Linked DNA regions of Bombyx mori. The protein of the gene in region 3 interacts with the protein of the main gene of each other region in a biochemical or structural test. Links are inferred from orthologs where the notes say so. Each region holds a gene or a part of one and is shown on either strand. Other genes may lie near its edges. The genes, in order: parafibromin, caveolin-3 and tyrosine-protein phosphatase non-receptor type 11.

Region 1 (4,167 bases), on a different chromosome or scaffold from region 3:
TTTAATTTTTAATGGCTTAGTTTGGTGGACGAGCTCACAGCCCACCTGGTGTTAAGTGGTTACTGGAGCCCATAGACATCCACAGCGTAAATGTGCCACCCACCTTGAGATATAAGTTCTAAGGTCTCAAGTATAGTTACAACGGCTGCCCCACCCTTCAGACCGAAACGCATTACTGCTTCACGGCAGAAATAAGCGGGGTGGTGGTACCCACCCGTGCGGACTCACAAGAGTAATTACCACCTAGAGAGTAAGTACCTACCACCAGTAATTACGCAAATTTATAATTTTGCGGGTTTGATTTTTATTACACTATGTTATTCCTTCACCGTGAAAGTCAATCGTGAACATTTGTTGAGTACGTATTTCATAAGAAAAATTGGTACCCACCTGAGATTCGAACACCGGTGTATCACTCAACACGAACGCACCGGACGTCTTATCCGTTAGGCCACCACGTCGATGACTTCAAAGTAAATTATACTATTATAGTATTTTAATACAATGATAGGTTTGTGGCACTGTTTTAAAATATTTCCAGTTGCTAGTATGGCGCTACCATAATTCATTCCCTTTCAGCTGACACATTTTCACATATTGAGATGGCACTCCTTACTTCTACCCTCCATAGTCGTGGCCGAAAGGATATGCATTCGTGTCTTGCGATGCACCGGTGTTCGAATCCTGCAGGCACCAGGCACCAATTTTTCTAATGAAATAATTACATAACAAATGCGTAATTACTAGTGGTAGGAAATCTTGTGAGTCCACACGAAACTTAAAAAAAAACTATTATTTGCCTATAAATTGCCTATAAAAAAATCCCTATTTTTGGCGTGAAGCAGTAATGCGTTTCGGTTTGAAGGATAGAGCAACCGTTGCACTGTAAAAACTAAGACCTAAGAACTCATATCTCAAGGTAGGTGGCAGCGTTTACGTTATAGATATCTATGGAGTCCAGTGACCACTTAACTTCAGGTGCGCCTTAAGCTCGTTCACCCACCTAAGTGGGTAAGCTAAAATTTGGACATTGGCGGGAACACGTGAAGCGTACTTCTGGTTTAAATGTGTAATAACGGTGGTTTATTAACTGTTTAGCATCTGTGAAAGTGCATAGATGTAAAATAATGAAACGAAGCAGCTTGTCGTAGCTTCTCGAGTTCTTTCAATAATTCCATTGAAAAATTCTTAGTAAATGACCACTGTTTTACTGACACTATATTTTGGCCTTATATAATTTCATTTCATTTGATTTCATTCCAAATTATTAATGGCTCAAATTAATCAACTTCATTTCATTTCCTTCCAAATAATTTTTAAAAAGACACATACGAAAGATAAGGCTGTATGGTTTGATACCTACGCCTTTTCAGCTAGAAAAATGGAACTACTATTTTAGAAATGTTCACCATGGATGTTCAATGTGTTTCGTTTTCTGTTTATCCCGGTTAGTTTTTTAGGCCGGGGTGTAAAGTTACTTACAGTATATTTAATAGAATTGGTGTCATTATTTTTACTTGACTAGTCCGAGAGAAAATAAACATAAAGTTGAGTGTGAAGTTATCATGGCGGACCCACTCAGTTTACTTCGTCAGTATAACGTAAATAAAAGAGAAATAATTGAACGCGATAACCAAATAATATTCGGTGAATTCTCTTGGCCAAAAAATGTTAAGACAAACTATCTTATTTGGAGGTAAGTACTTTGTGTTATTATTGGAAAATAAACTTTGAAAATGTTGAGCCTTATTGTACCCATTTATGCAATTTTTTAGATCTGGAAAGGAAGGCAGCGTTAAAGAGTATTACACCTTGGAATGCCTTCTTTTTATTCTCAAGAACATTCACCTGACTCATCCAGTATATGTCAGGCAGGCTGCTGTAAGTGAAGTTTAGTTATAAATAAAACATGTATGGTTGATGTTCCACATAACACATTATTGATCTCAAAAAAATTTTAGGCTGCAAATATACCACCTGTGCGTCGTCCAGATCGTAAAGAGCTATTAGCATATCTAAATGGAGAGACTGCTACTTGTGCCTCTATTGATAAAAGTGCACCCCTTGAAATTCCGACTCAAGTGAGTAAGAAAGTTTATAAATAACACTTTCACTAGACTAGACTGTAGGACCAATTAATGTGAATTTTATTCCCATTTATTGATTGAAGTTATTAAGTGATTAAACTACTACATAGGTGAAACGCACACTTGATAATGATGGAGGAGAATCTGCTGCAAAAAAACCTCGAATTGAGGAAACTCATGTTCAGAAGGTCCGAGAACAACTGGCAGCCAGGCTTGATGCCCCTAAGGAAGCTTCAGTCACAGTGGACAATATCAAGTAATTCATCCAATTTATAATAATATTAATTTTTTTAATTTTATATCACTTAGCTGAACCTACTATTATACAAAATATATCAGGTGTACATTCTCAATGAGTTAGTAGTTTCATCATGTGCAAAAATGTGCAATTCCTATTACTTTAATGGAAATGAGCTTTAACAATAAAGACAAATCAAATATGTATACATAATTTGTCCAATCATATTGTACTACGAATTTAGACTATAAAATTAGGGGCCAGAAGCTTTAATGGAATTAATTATGCCATTAGTTTGCAAACAGTATGAAGCATGAAAGAATAACATAAATATCTTAATAATTAATAAGATGCTATGAGGTCAGTTATCAGTAAAAACTAGTTTTATTTGTGGCCAGTGGCCACTGAACCATTTTGGTGATTTTGTTGCATTCAGCTAAAATAATCGACAAAAAAATAATAGGTTTACTTCAGGTTGTTTTAATTGTTTTTATCAGTCTTCTGTATGTTGAAAAATTACATTTGTTGTTCACGGAAGGTGGCCAAAGGTCCAAGTAGTGTGTAGTCTATTTGCCTTAACAGAACAGGAACTATGGTCGTTTTCTTGCAATTTTATGGGTCATTGTCATTGCCTCTAGGCATTTTTTATTATTAACAAAATGTAGTGTGATAACATAAATTCACCTAGACTTTGTGAATTATATCTAAGAACTGTATATCATCATTCATCATGAAGTACTCCAAATTCAGTGTTCCAAGATCTCTTAAAATTTGTACATGTATAGGTTTTATCACAATAAAACTCGTGTAGTTCTTTAATCATAAATATACTTAAGAAGACCAAGTCTAAAGTACCTTGTGGCTCTCGATGAAATTTAGAAAATGAATTTAAAAAAAATCTTTAGTTCTAAGCAAACAATTTGGGTATTTGTCTTTTTTTCTATATCAATAATCTTTAATTACCCCTTCTCTAATCTTTTTGATTTAAAAGATGATCCACACCACACAGTCACCACATCAAATATTCGATATCTAAATAGGTGTAAACATATGTATAAATATCAATATGTACAGAAAATAAATAAATTATAAGTGTTTTCTCTTCTAATTGAGTAATTGTTTCCAATTTTTAGATCCCTTTCTGAAGCTATGTCTGTAGAAAAAATTGCAGCAATCAAAGCAAAACGATTAGCTAAGAAAAGAACCACAATCAAAAGCAATGACTATTCTGATACATTGGGTGTAGTCGGTTCAGACTTAAGAGCCATTCTTGACTATGATGTGGATCTTACTAAAGATATCATCAGCCGAGAAAGGCAGTGGCGGACAAGAACAACAGTATTACAAAGTAATGGGAAAGTAAGTAGACAGCTAAGTATTTATAATTACAAAATATACATCTTTAAAATTCTCCACTTAGCACATGTGAGAAGTGTTGTAATTAGATACGTCTGCATAATACAAATTGATTACTCTTGAATTTTCATTACATTCATGCGTCATTATAGATCTATTATAAGACAATTTAATAATTGATGGTGTTATCTTTAAAATTATAATATATTAAATGAAATTGAATATTGTAGATGTTTGCTAAAAGCATATTAGCTCATTTGGCGAGCATCAAAGCTAGAGAAGAAGGTAGACCTGGGATTCCGAGAGCACAACCTGTTATTTTGCAACAGCCTACTGTATTACCTGCACAACAGACACAGTATAACAGATACGATCAGGAAAGATTTATACGTCAAAAGGAAGGTTTGTAGAGTATACAGAGTCTGTATTTTAGTTTTGTCTTTTCTGGCATGAAGTAGTCATGTGCGTTTTATGGATGGTAACTTA
Region 2 (4,208 bases), on a different chromosome or scaffold from region 3:
TACTACGGTACTACACTATATGTACACTTTACTGTTTTCAATTTTTTTTATTGCTTAGTAGGGTGGACGAGCTTACGGTCTGGTGTTACCTGGTGTTAAGTGGTTACTGGAGCCCATGGACATCTACAACGTAAATGCGCCACCCACCTTGAGATATAAGTTCTAAGGTCTCAGTATAGTTACAACGGCTACCCCACCCTTCAAATCGAAACGCATTACTGCTTCACGGCAGAAATGGGCAGGGCAGTGGTATCTACCCGTGCGGACACACAAGAGCTCCTACTACCAGTAATATTCCACCAGTACATATTTGTATCGAATACAGAATTTGTGGGTTCCGTTGATTATTCACTAAATCTGATTTTATTAATAATCTTATGGCGTTAGCTTAACATAAAATAATTTTAAACTGGCTATTTGAAGCGATATGCTGTTTCGCTTGATGTAACAAATTAATATCTCTGGTGATTAATATCACTAAAGTATCGTGATTGTATAGCGCATATTAAGAATCCTATAGGATTCAAGGCATTGCTTACAGTATTTAATACTTTTAGGAAAAACGTTTAAATAATTTTAATTTCCAAAGCCAGAGATTTCCAATAGTTAATAAGCTAGTCAAGCTCCGGAAATCCAAAAGGATGTAAAAACAATTCAACCTAAAATAATAATGATTCACTAAGTAAATATATACCTAGAGCGCCTTTACGTAGACGCGTAGCAATAACAATAAAATGGCGTTCTTTTTCGAACTGTTACAAAGTAAACAAAGAATACCAGTCCGGCTAATGACGTCACCTAACGAAGGGCTTTTCATGGTTCGACCTTCATTTTCCATTTGCCACTTAAACAAAATAACATAACACATATCATGAACGGGTTTTTTATTCAGTTGTTTTATGTAAATTTCGCGTCCGGCGCTGAAACACGAATCTATTTTTAAGGGTTGTATTTGCATAACTACAAAAGATGTTATTTGAATATTATGCTCTATAATTATTACCCGTTTTTTTGTAAACTCATAAAGATGAGTAAATTGTTTAAATGGCATGGTCCATGTCAAAAAACTATGCTACATTATAAGCAATAATTTTAACGTCAAATCCTATTAAAATATAATTTAATCTCTTTTAAAACATCTGAAATGGTTCGGGATGGAATGGGTTATTTCTCCAGGAATTCTTCCCTAATACCTATGTTGAGTCTTGGATAGGGAATGCATTAGACACAGGCACTGATATCTCCGTATCATACATTTCTTGGGCGAAATGAATATAAGTCTCTAAGGAGAAATAGCCGTGAAGTTTCGTGGCTCGGCGACATTCTTAGTTTGTTGAATCTAAGCGATTCGGTAGCTAACTAAAGATAAGTAGTGGTCATTGAGAATATCTACCCATTACAGTCTCGATCTTGCGGACCGAATGGCAAACAATCGTCGACGCTCAAAACACGTCATTTCATATCCTTCCCGATCCTCTAACGGTGCTTTTACCCTCAAGCACCGGTTATCGTTCACGTCGAACGTCGAACAAGCGACGACACTTGCGACGAAGGAGCTGGCGAGTAAACTAACCCACAGACACAGCTCACTCAGTTTCTCGCCGGATCTTCTTAGTGGTTCGCGCTTCGCGTGTCCAATCCGGTCGGAGATTCTGCGAAGAACTGCTCTTACTAGGTACAGTGTTGGCAATTTCGCAAAATTAATTTTGAGATTAGGCAGTAATGGTAGTATTGCATCAAATTAAATAGAGCTAACAAATATTTACAATTGAAATAAAACTAATAATTCAAATCGAATCTCGTGTAACGTAATTAGCGAATCATCAAATAAAGTATTTCCGGTGCTAAAGAGCCTCAGTCCTGAGAAGATAGGCTAAAGAGCAGTCTGAACAACTTCAAATATATTCCTATTTAAAATTTAGCAACAATTAAATAAATGTATAAAGTAATTAATGTCAACATACAAATTAAAAATAATGTAATTTAGTGAACTCAGTCCTGGATTGACTTTCAGCTTATGATTACTGGAAACACTTACGAAACGAGAATAAATATACTCATACGGACCGTCACACCGACTCAGATCAATAATAAAACCAAGACTCTAAGGTATAAAAATCTGATTATTATAAAGGGCACATTCGTAGTAACATCCTTAATATTTAAAGGGCTGGTACTAACCCATAGTAGCGCAATTTTAAAATATCGTCATACAACACTTTAGCCTTCGCGACCACAAAGACTGAAAAGTATTTGATACTCGAAACTATTATACAACAATCAAAGCGAGACTAAGTCGTAAGGGTAATAATAAATATGTCTACGACTCGCAAAAAGCAAACAAATACTAACACACTCATAATTCCCTACGTTTTTAAGTACCTTTGTAGACAGACTGCAGACGTCAGGAGCATACAGCCCACCTGACGGTAAGTGGCTACAGTAAGTTATAGACTTCCGCAAGTTTAGGGCATAGCCAAGTCGCTGTCTGCCTTACGTAAAGACGTCTGCAGAGAAGTATTTATAGCTTATGGACACCAATTACCGCTAAACACCAGTTATGCCATTAGTCCATAGGTATGTGCTAGTAAAAAGAACTTATATCGCATCCCAAACAAACAACAGAACGGTACCTGTAAGTGCTGATTCAAGTTGTTAGGATCTCTGTCCTCCAACGCTTCCCTAACTCCACTCTCCGATTTCGCCGTCATTGTCCTAATAGGCGGCGTGATCGTAACCGTCTCCAGTATTTCGGTGAGCTCCGGTTCGGTCCGGTCCGGTATGGGTGTCGGTATGAGTACCGGCGGAGCGGAAGCCGGTTCAGCTATGTTCGGCAACAGCTTGGCTTTGTGAGCGCACGCTATACACTGACGGGACGTCGAGCGAGAGAAAGGGACGGCGGAACCGCCGGATCCCAACGGTACGTCTTCATACGCCACGTCGCCGGGTGTGAACGCACCTCTCGCGATATTTTTCAGTTTTTTTTATTGGTTACTTTTTTGGTTTTAAGTTAAAGTATAGCTTTAATATCGTCATCCAAGTTTAAATCAAAATTGAAGGCATACTCTAAAAGCTATAATTAATTTTTGCCATTTATTACACTATTTTAGAAAACTTTAATGAAAGTTAGGGTTTTCCAAAAGTTGAATTTACAGTTATATAGTTTACATTAGAAATATGAGTTAAGAAAAAAAAAAGTTTCCGGTCTACGAATTTTAGAAATTTAAGTCTTCTTAAACCAAACAAAAACTTAAAAATTCAATTCGAACTTTACAAGCAAAAACTTTGTTTAAGCTTAACCACCGACACAACTTTCCAAATGCTCACTATTTTACATAACTAAAAACATTTCCTTCTACAACGTCATATGTCATGCGCATGTCAGTTCTTCTATGACAATAGTTATCGTTAGACGTAGGTATAAATACCCGATATAAATTAAAAACGCGATAGTAGCTATTATTAGTGCTTTTTATAGATTGGCGTTTATTTTGAATGGCTAAAGAGCTTTCGTGGAGCAATTTAGTGCTGACGAGGCGTTTTATGCATTAATTGTGCTTTGTGCGAGTTTTTAACGTTCTCGATAGCGTAAAAGTTAACTCAAATTTGTATGCAGTTGGAACAGCGCCCCTAGCGGCAAACGTAGTCAAACGTTCCAACTCCATACAAATTTGAGTTAGCTTTTATGCTATCAAGGACGTTAAAAATCTCGCACTAAGCACAACTGTAACTATATTTGAGACCTTAGAACTTATATCTCAAGGTGGGTGGTGCATTTACGTCGTAGATGTGTATGGGCTCCAGTAACCACTTAACACCAGGTGGGCTTTGAGCTCGTCCAACCATCTAAGCAATAAAAGTCCAGCAGTTAGAAATGATAGTCAACAAAGCTCTGTGGCAAACGGTAAGGATAGGTGGAGAAAATCAGTGAAAAAACTATAGAAAAGTCACGTTCCTCAACAAAGAGAAACCGATTGAGAAGTAGTGTTTTTGTGAGCCTACATCATCGTTCTACATATCAAGGCCGCGATGTAGTCGTGACGCGTGTTTTAGTTTTGAAAGGTCATGCAGCGGTTATTCAATACAATTGAGATTTCGGCCTCATGTCTCAAGGTGGGAGATTGAATTCACCTTATGATCTTTATGAGTTCCAGTAACGACTTAACATCACATAACAATACCATAAAAAAGTTCTGTTTAGTCTTCCG
Region 3 (4,241 bases):
TGACAAAATACACAAATAATTTTGGATTTATTGAATTGTGAAAAAATTAAGAACTGAAAAAAAAACCGGAAATGTTGTGCCCAGAAGGCTCTCAGCCTGAAAATGATACGTTATCCAAAAGCAATGATATCTGCCAAAAGAAACCAAACAAAGTTCCTGCTGAAGGAACAGACAGCTTGGAACTAACTTCCTATAAAAATCCTAAGACATGGAAGAAATCGATTTCTAATTTCTTCAGAAATCAACTACGTTCAACTAAATCCAATGAGGTAAGCATTTGCATTAATACAATCTGTTAAGATATTTTTGCCGTTGCTAAAAAAAATATTTTTCAGGGTGATCGGCCTTCAGGCAGTAAAGATAATTTTGAGGAAAAAGAGATCACTCCTGACCAAAAGTGGCAATCTTTGGGGAAAGTATTTCGTCGTCAAAGCTTTGCCGAAACGTGGAACAAGTCTCCTAAATCGCCAGGAGAAAATTCATCTCACAGTAAAAGGCTAGCGGTAAAAAAGGTCATTTCATCTTACTTTGGCAAAAGTCAAAAAGTTACGTCGGCGGATGGTGAAAAATAAACATGTACACAAATAAAAATGTTATACAGATCGTGTTGTATTTTAAATCACTAAGTTCGTTATTTGTAAATTTCACTTAACTAAAACATAAAATGTATTAAAACAATTTGAAAACAAGTAATTTAAAATGATAGACATGAATCATGTATGAAAATTATTTACGTTCAAAATGTTTACTTTGTCAGATATATACGAATATTCTTATGCCTAAATTTTAATTCATATCTGAAACTTCTCTTTATACTACTCATTAGAACATACTACAGTTATAAGAACCAAGTAGTATGATTGTGGTCCTTGTTAATTCCATTGAGGAAGGTCCTTAACGCACTAAGAAAATGCTCAAAAACCACCTTTTGTGGATTTTATGTAATTCCAAAAATTAAAGTATCGAACAAAATAAATTTCTCAACCCTTAAAGATAATACAAAAAAAATTAAGATAATGACCAAGGCTATTTTACTTCTATCTGATGAACTAACTGTATACAATCTTTCGTATAAGACCTTTTGTTGTATTCTTTGTATATTTTCTACGGTTTGAGTGAAAATAAGGGAAACATCCGATAGTAATAATTGCAGTACCTACCTACATCAATCATAAAGCAATGTTAACACAAAATATATATCGTTTGGTACGAAGTGCTTTGTTATTGTCCATTAATTAAACGCTTGGAAATTAGGTTATAGCTCATTTCTAAAATTACCTAACACATTAATTTATAGTAAGATAAATTTTAAACGTTCGAACTAATTTGTATAGATAAAATAGTATAGAAACAAAATTGGAAGTTCGTTCAAAAACCGATTGACATTCTGTTGACAACTTGTCAAGGCACAAATGGGCTACAAAATCACTAGACTGACATTTCTCCAGGCAACTCAAAGAACAAAATTCATTTTCAGCTTTTCGTGCTAAATAATTTAATTTACGATTTATTTTGTTTAATAACACATTTTCATGTTCGTTTATGCTTTTAATTACAACATTAGGTTAACATTCGAGCCGTGCCAGTGTATTCAGTGTATACGCCCTTGAAAATCGTGTGTAAAAAATCTAAAGTCAGCATAGCAACAGTACTTAGATCCGTATAATTATTATATTATGGGATACCGCCGGGATTGTACATCACGGGTGCCTTTATGAGGTGAGTAGTGTGTGTTGTGGTCGATATAGGCGAGTCTAGTACAAGGAAAAAGCGTAAAATGAATAAAGAAATGTACCTTTGTGTTACATTGCCATATATACATATAAGTGCAAGGCTATATGTCACTTTAAGCCAGTCGAGAACACAATAATAAATTAGCGAATTGTAATCCTGTTGCCTATTTTTTCTATTTATATTGCGATATACAAATCTGCAAACATTTTCCATTTAATATATTTTTTCTATATGCAATACCACTTGATATCTAACAGAAACCAAAACATGTGGTAAATCAATAACTTTACTTAAGTTTCCAACAACTTGGTTTTGTTTTCAGCAAAAATACCCAAATAGGTTATGAATCTCGTAATTCAACAAAACGAGCCATTTCTCTGATTCATCTAAAGTTCTATCACCATTCATATATCCCAATAGGAAGGTAGGGAAAAAGCTTAGAGAGTAAGTTTAAAACTATATTTTGCCAAGCTTTTAACTCTAATGAACACACATCACATACTTTTAGCAAAGTGAAAAAAGGTGTTACTGAATACTAAGTTGCTGAAACTGCAAACCCTCACTCTAGAGACTCTGCTAATTATGAATTTATACTTTATGTCTAATGGTAACAACTTAAATGGGCTGTTAGCATGTACCTACAGCAATATCAATGAAAAAATAGTATGTGCACCATGGGAAAAAATTAGGACAACTCATCCCGCGTGTTTGGCAACTTTACACGCGGGAGGAAGTGTCCTACTTTTCTCCCTTGGTGCACAATGTACTATTACTTAAAAAAAGTCTTCAAGGAATCTGTAACAGTCATAAAGAATTAAGATGTGTAATAAAAGAAAAAGAGTACAACATCCAAAAAGTTTAAAAAGCATCTGATATTCTAAGTAGATATTATAAAACAAATACACACAATAAAAACATTTAGGTAATATAAACATACAAAGATACTTAAATAAATAAATACACAATGTTTATATTAATATGGGCCTTTAGTACTTTGAAAGAATTTAAATCATACTCTTTTCTGGCAGTATAAGTTAAAACATTCAGAATTTATCACAGTTTATTTCCAATGTTGAAATAACTTGGAATAATCTCTTTCAAAATACTCTTTCAAAACAATTACGTTAAAATGTAAATTATATTATGAAATGAAGAAAAAATAATTAAGTATTGTTTTCATTATTTCCAGATGGTTGATGAAAATGTACGGGCATTCAGAAGTGAACAAGAAAAAACACTGAATTAATATTTAAGGTATTGTAAGTTGCAAAAGTGGTGCTTTCTATTAGTGTAAGATGATAACTCGAAGATGGTTCCACCCCTCGCTGAATGGTGTGGACGCGGAAAAATTGCTCATGGAGTGCGGTCACGATGGGTATTTCCTGGCCAGGCCAAGTTCAAGTAATAAAGGAGATTTCACTCTCTCCGTCCGAAGAGGAAATGAGGTCACTCATATAAAAATTCAGAACAACGGCGAATTTCTCGATCTTTATGGAGGTGAAAAATTTGCTACCCTGTCAGAACTCGTCCAATATTATATGGACAATCAATGCCAGCTAAGAGAAAAAAATGGAAATATAATTAGGTTAAAAACGCCTCTCAACTGTGCAGATCCAACAACCGAACGATGGTACCACGGGCAGCTCACTGCCAAGGAAGCAGAGAGAATGATGATGGAAAACGGAAAAAACGGGTCGTTTCTCGTTCGCGAATCCCAAAGGCAACCTGGCGACTTCGTGTTGTCCGTTCGCACGAGAGATCGAGTTACACATGTGATAATTAGGCGAAAGGACAACAAATATGACGTAGGTGGGGGGCAACAGTTTGACGATCTCGTAAGTCTAATAGAATACTATCGTAGTTTTCCCATGGTCGAGACTACTGGTGAGGTACTAAGATTAATCCAACCCTTCAACGCTACACGTATACAGGTAAGACATTTTCACACGCGCGTAAAACAACTTCAAAAGGAAAACGAGGGACCCATCGAGAGCATGGCCTACAAACAAGGTTTCTGGGAGGAATTCGAAACGTTACAGATGATGGAGAACTTGCAGTTGTTCGACAGAATGGAGGGTTCGAAACCGGAGAATATTAGGAAAAACAGATACAAAAATATTATACCATTCGATCACACGCGTGTTATTTTAAAGGACATCCCCCCTGACGGTCCTCCGGGCTCAGATTACATCAATGCCAACTACATTCGATGTGACAGTATGGATTCCATTTCCGATTCCCAAGAATTCACAGGGAACGGCAGCACTGAAAACGGCAAAGACGGTACGCCGTCGAAAGCTAAAGATAAATCATCGCCTGTTCATACAAGCGTTATCGTAACTGAAGAGCCGGTCAAATCAAGTAAGAAGGTGCACGGCAACGGAACACACAAGCTGCCGGCGTTCGAACCGAGCGTTCTTCGTCCCAACCCGAATTATTTCAATACGACAATACCGAAATCAGCGACCGAAACCGAAAACGGTGTGCCCACTGTACACGTGTACAAC

The links.
Region 1: of the proteins of tyrosine-protein phosphatase non-receptor type 11 (region 3) and parafibromin, one has a biochemical effect on the other in vitro, tested with the Homo sapiens proteins (2 studies listed by BioGRID and IntAct). The link is inferred for Bombyx mori from reciprocal best matches to the Homo sapiens genes PTPN11 and CDC73.
Region 2: the proteins of tyrosine-protein phosphatase non-receptor type 11 (region 3) and caveolin-3 form a complex in vitro, tested with the Homo sapiens proteins (2 studies listed by BioGRID). The link is inferred for Bombyx mori from reciprocal best matches to the Homo sapiens genes PTPN11 and CAV1.

The regions. Positions count from the first base shown.
Region 1 is NC_085121.1:7,757,546-7,761,712, reverse strand, and holds the start of parafibromin, read left to right. Parts: upstream 1-1,350; 5' UTR 1,351-1,565; coding exon 1,566-1,696; intron 1,697-1,775; coding exon 1,776-1,881; intron 1,882-1,961; coding exon 1,962-2,081; intron 2,082-2,197; coding exon 2,198-2,343; intron 2,344-3,458; coding exon 3,459-3,684; intron 3,685-3,911; coding exon 3,912-4,083; intron 4,084-4,167.
Region 2 is NC_085111.1:986,504-990,711, reverse strand, and holds the start of caveolin-3, read right to left. Parts: upstream 2,887-4,208; 5' UTR 2,712-2,886; coding exon 2,634-2,711; intron 2,110-2,633; exon of another isoform or gene 2,015-2,109; intron 1,676-2,014; exon of another isoform or gene 1,403-1,675; intron 1-1,402. UniProt on the Homo sapiens protein: May act as a scaffolding protein within caveolar membranes. Forms a stable heterooligomeric complex with CAV2 that targets to lipid rafts and drives caveolae formation. Mediates the recruitment of CAVIN proteins (CAVIN1/2/3/4) to the caveolae.
Region 3 is NC_085119.1:16,186,238-16,190,478, reverse strand, and holds the start of tyrosine-protein phosphatase non-receptor type 11, read left to right. Parts: upstream 1-1,389; 5' UTR 1,390-1,719; intron 1,720-2,923; 5' UTR 2,924-3,029; coding exon 3,030-4,241. Other genes in the region: uncharacterized protein LOC101736406, read left to right, coding at 72-269, 336-572. UniProt on the Homo sapiens protein: Acts downstream of various receptor and cytoplasmic protein tyrosine kinases to participate in the signal transduction from the cell surface to the nucleus. Positively regulates MAPK signal transduction pathway. Dephosphorylates GAB1, ARHGAP35 and EGFR.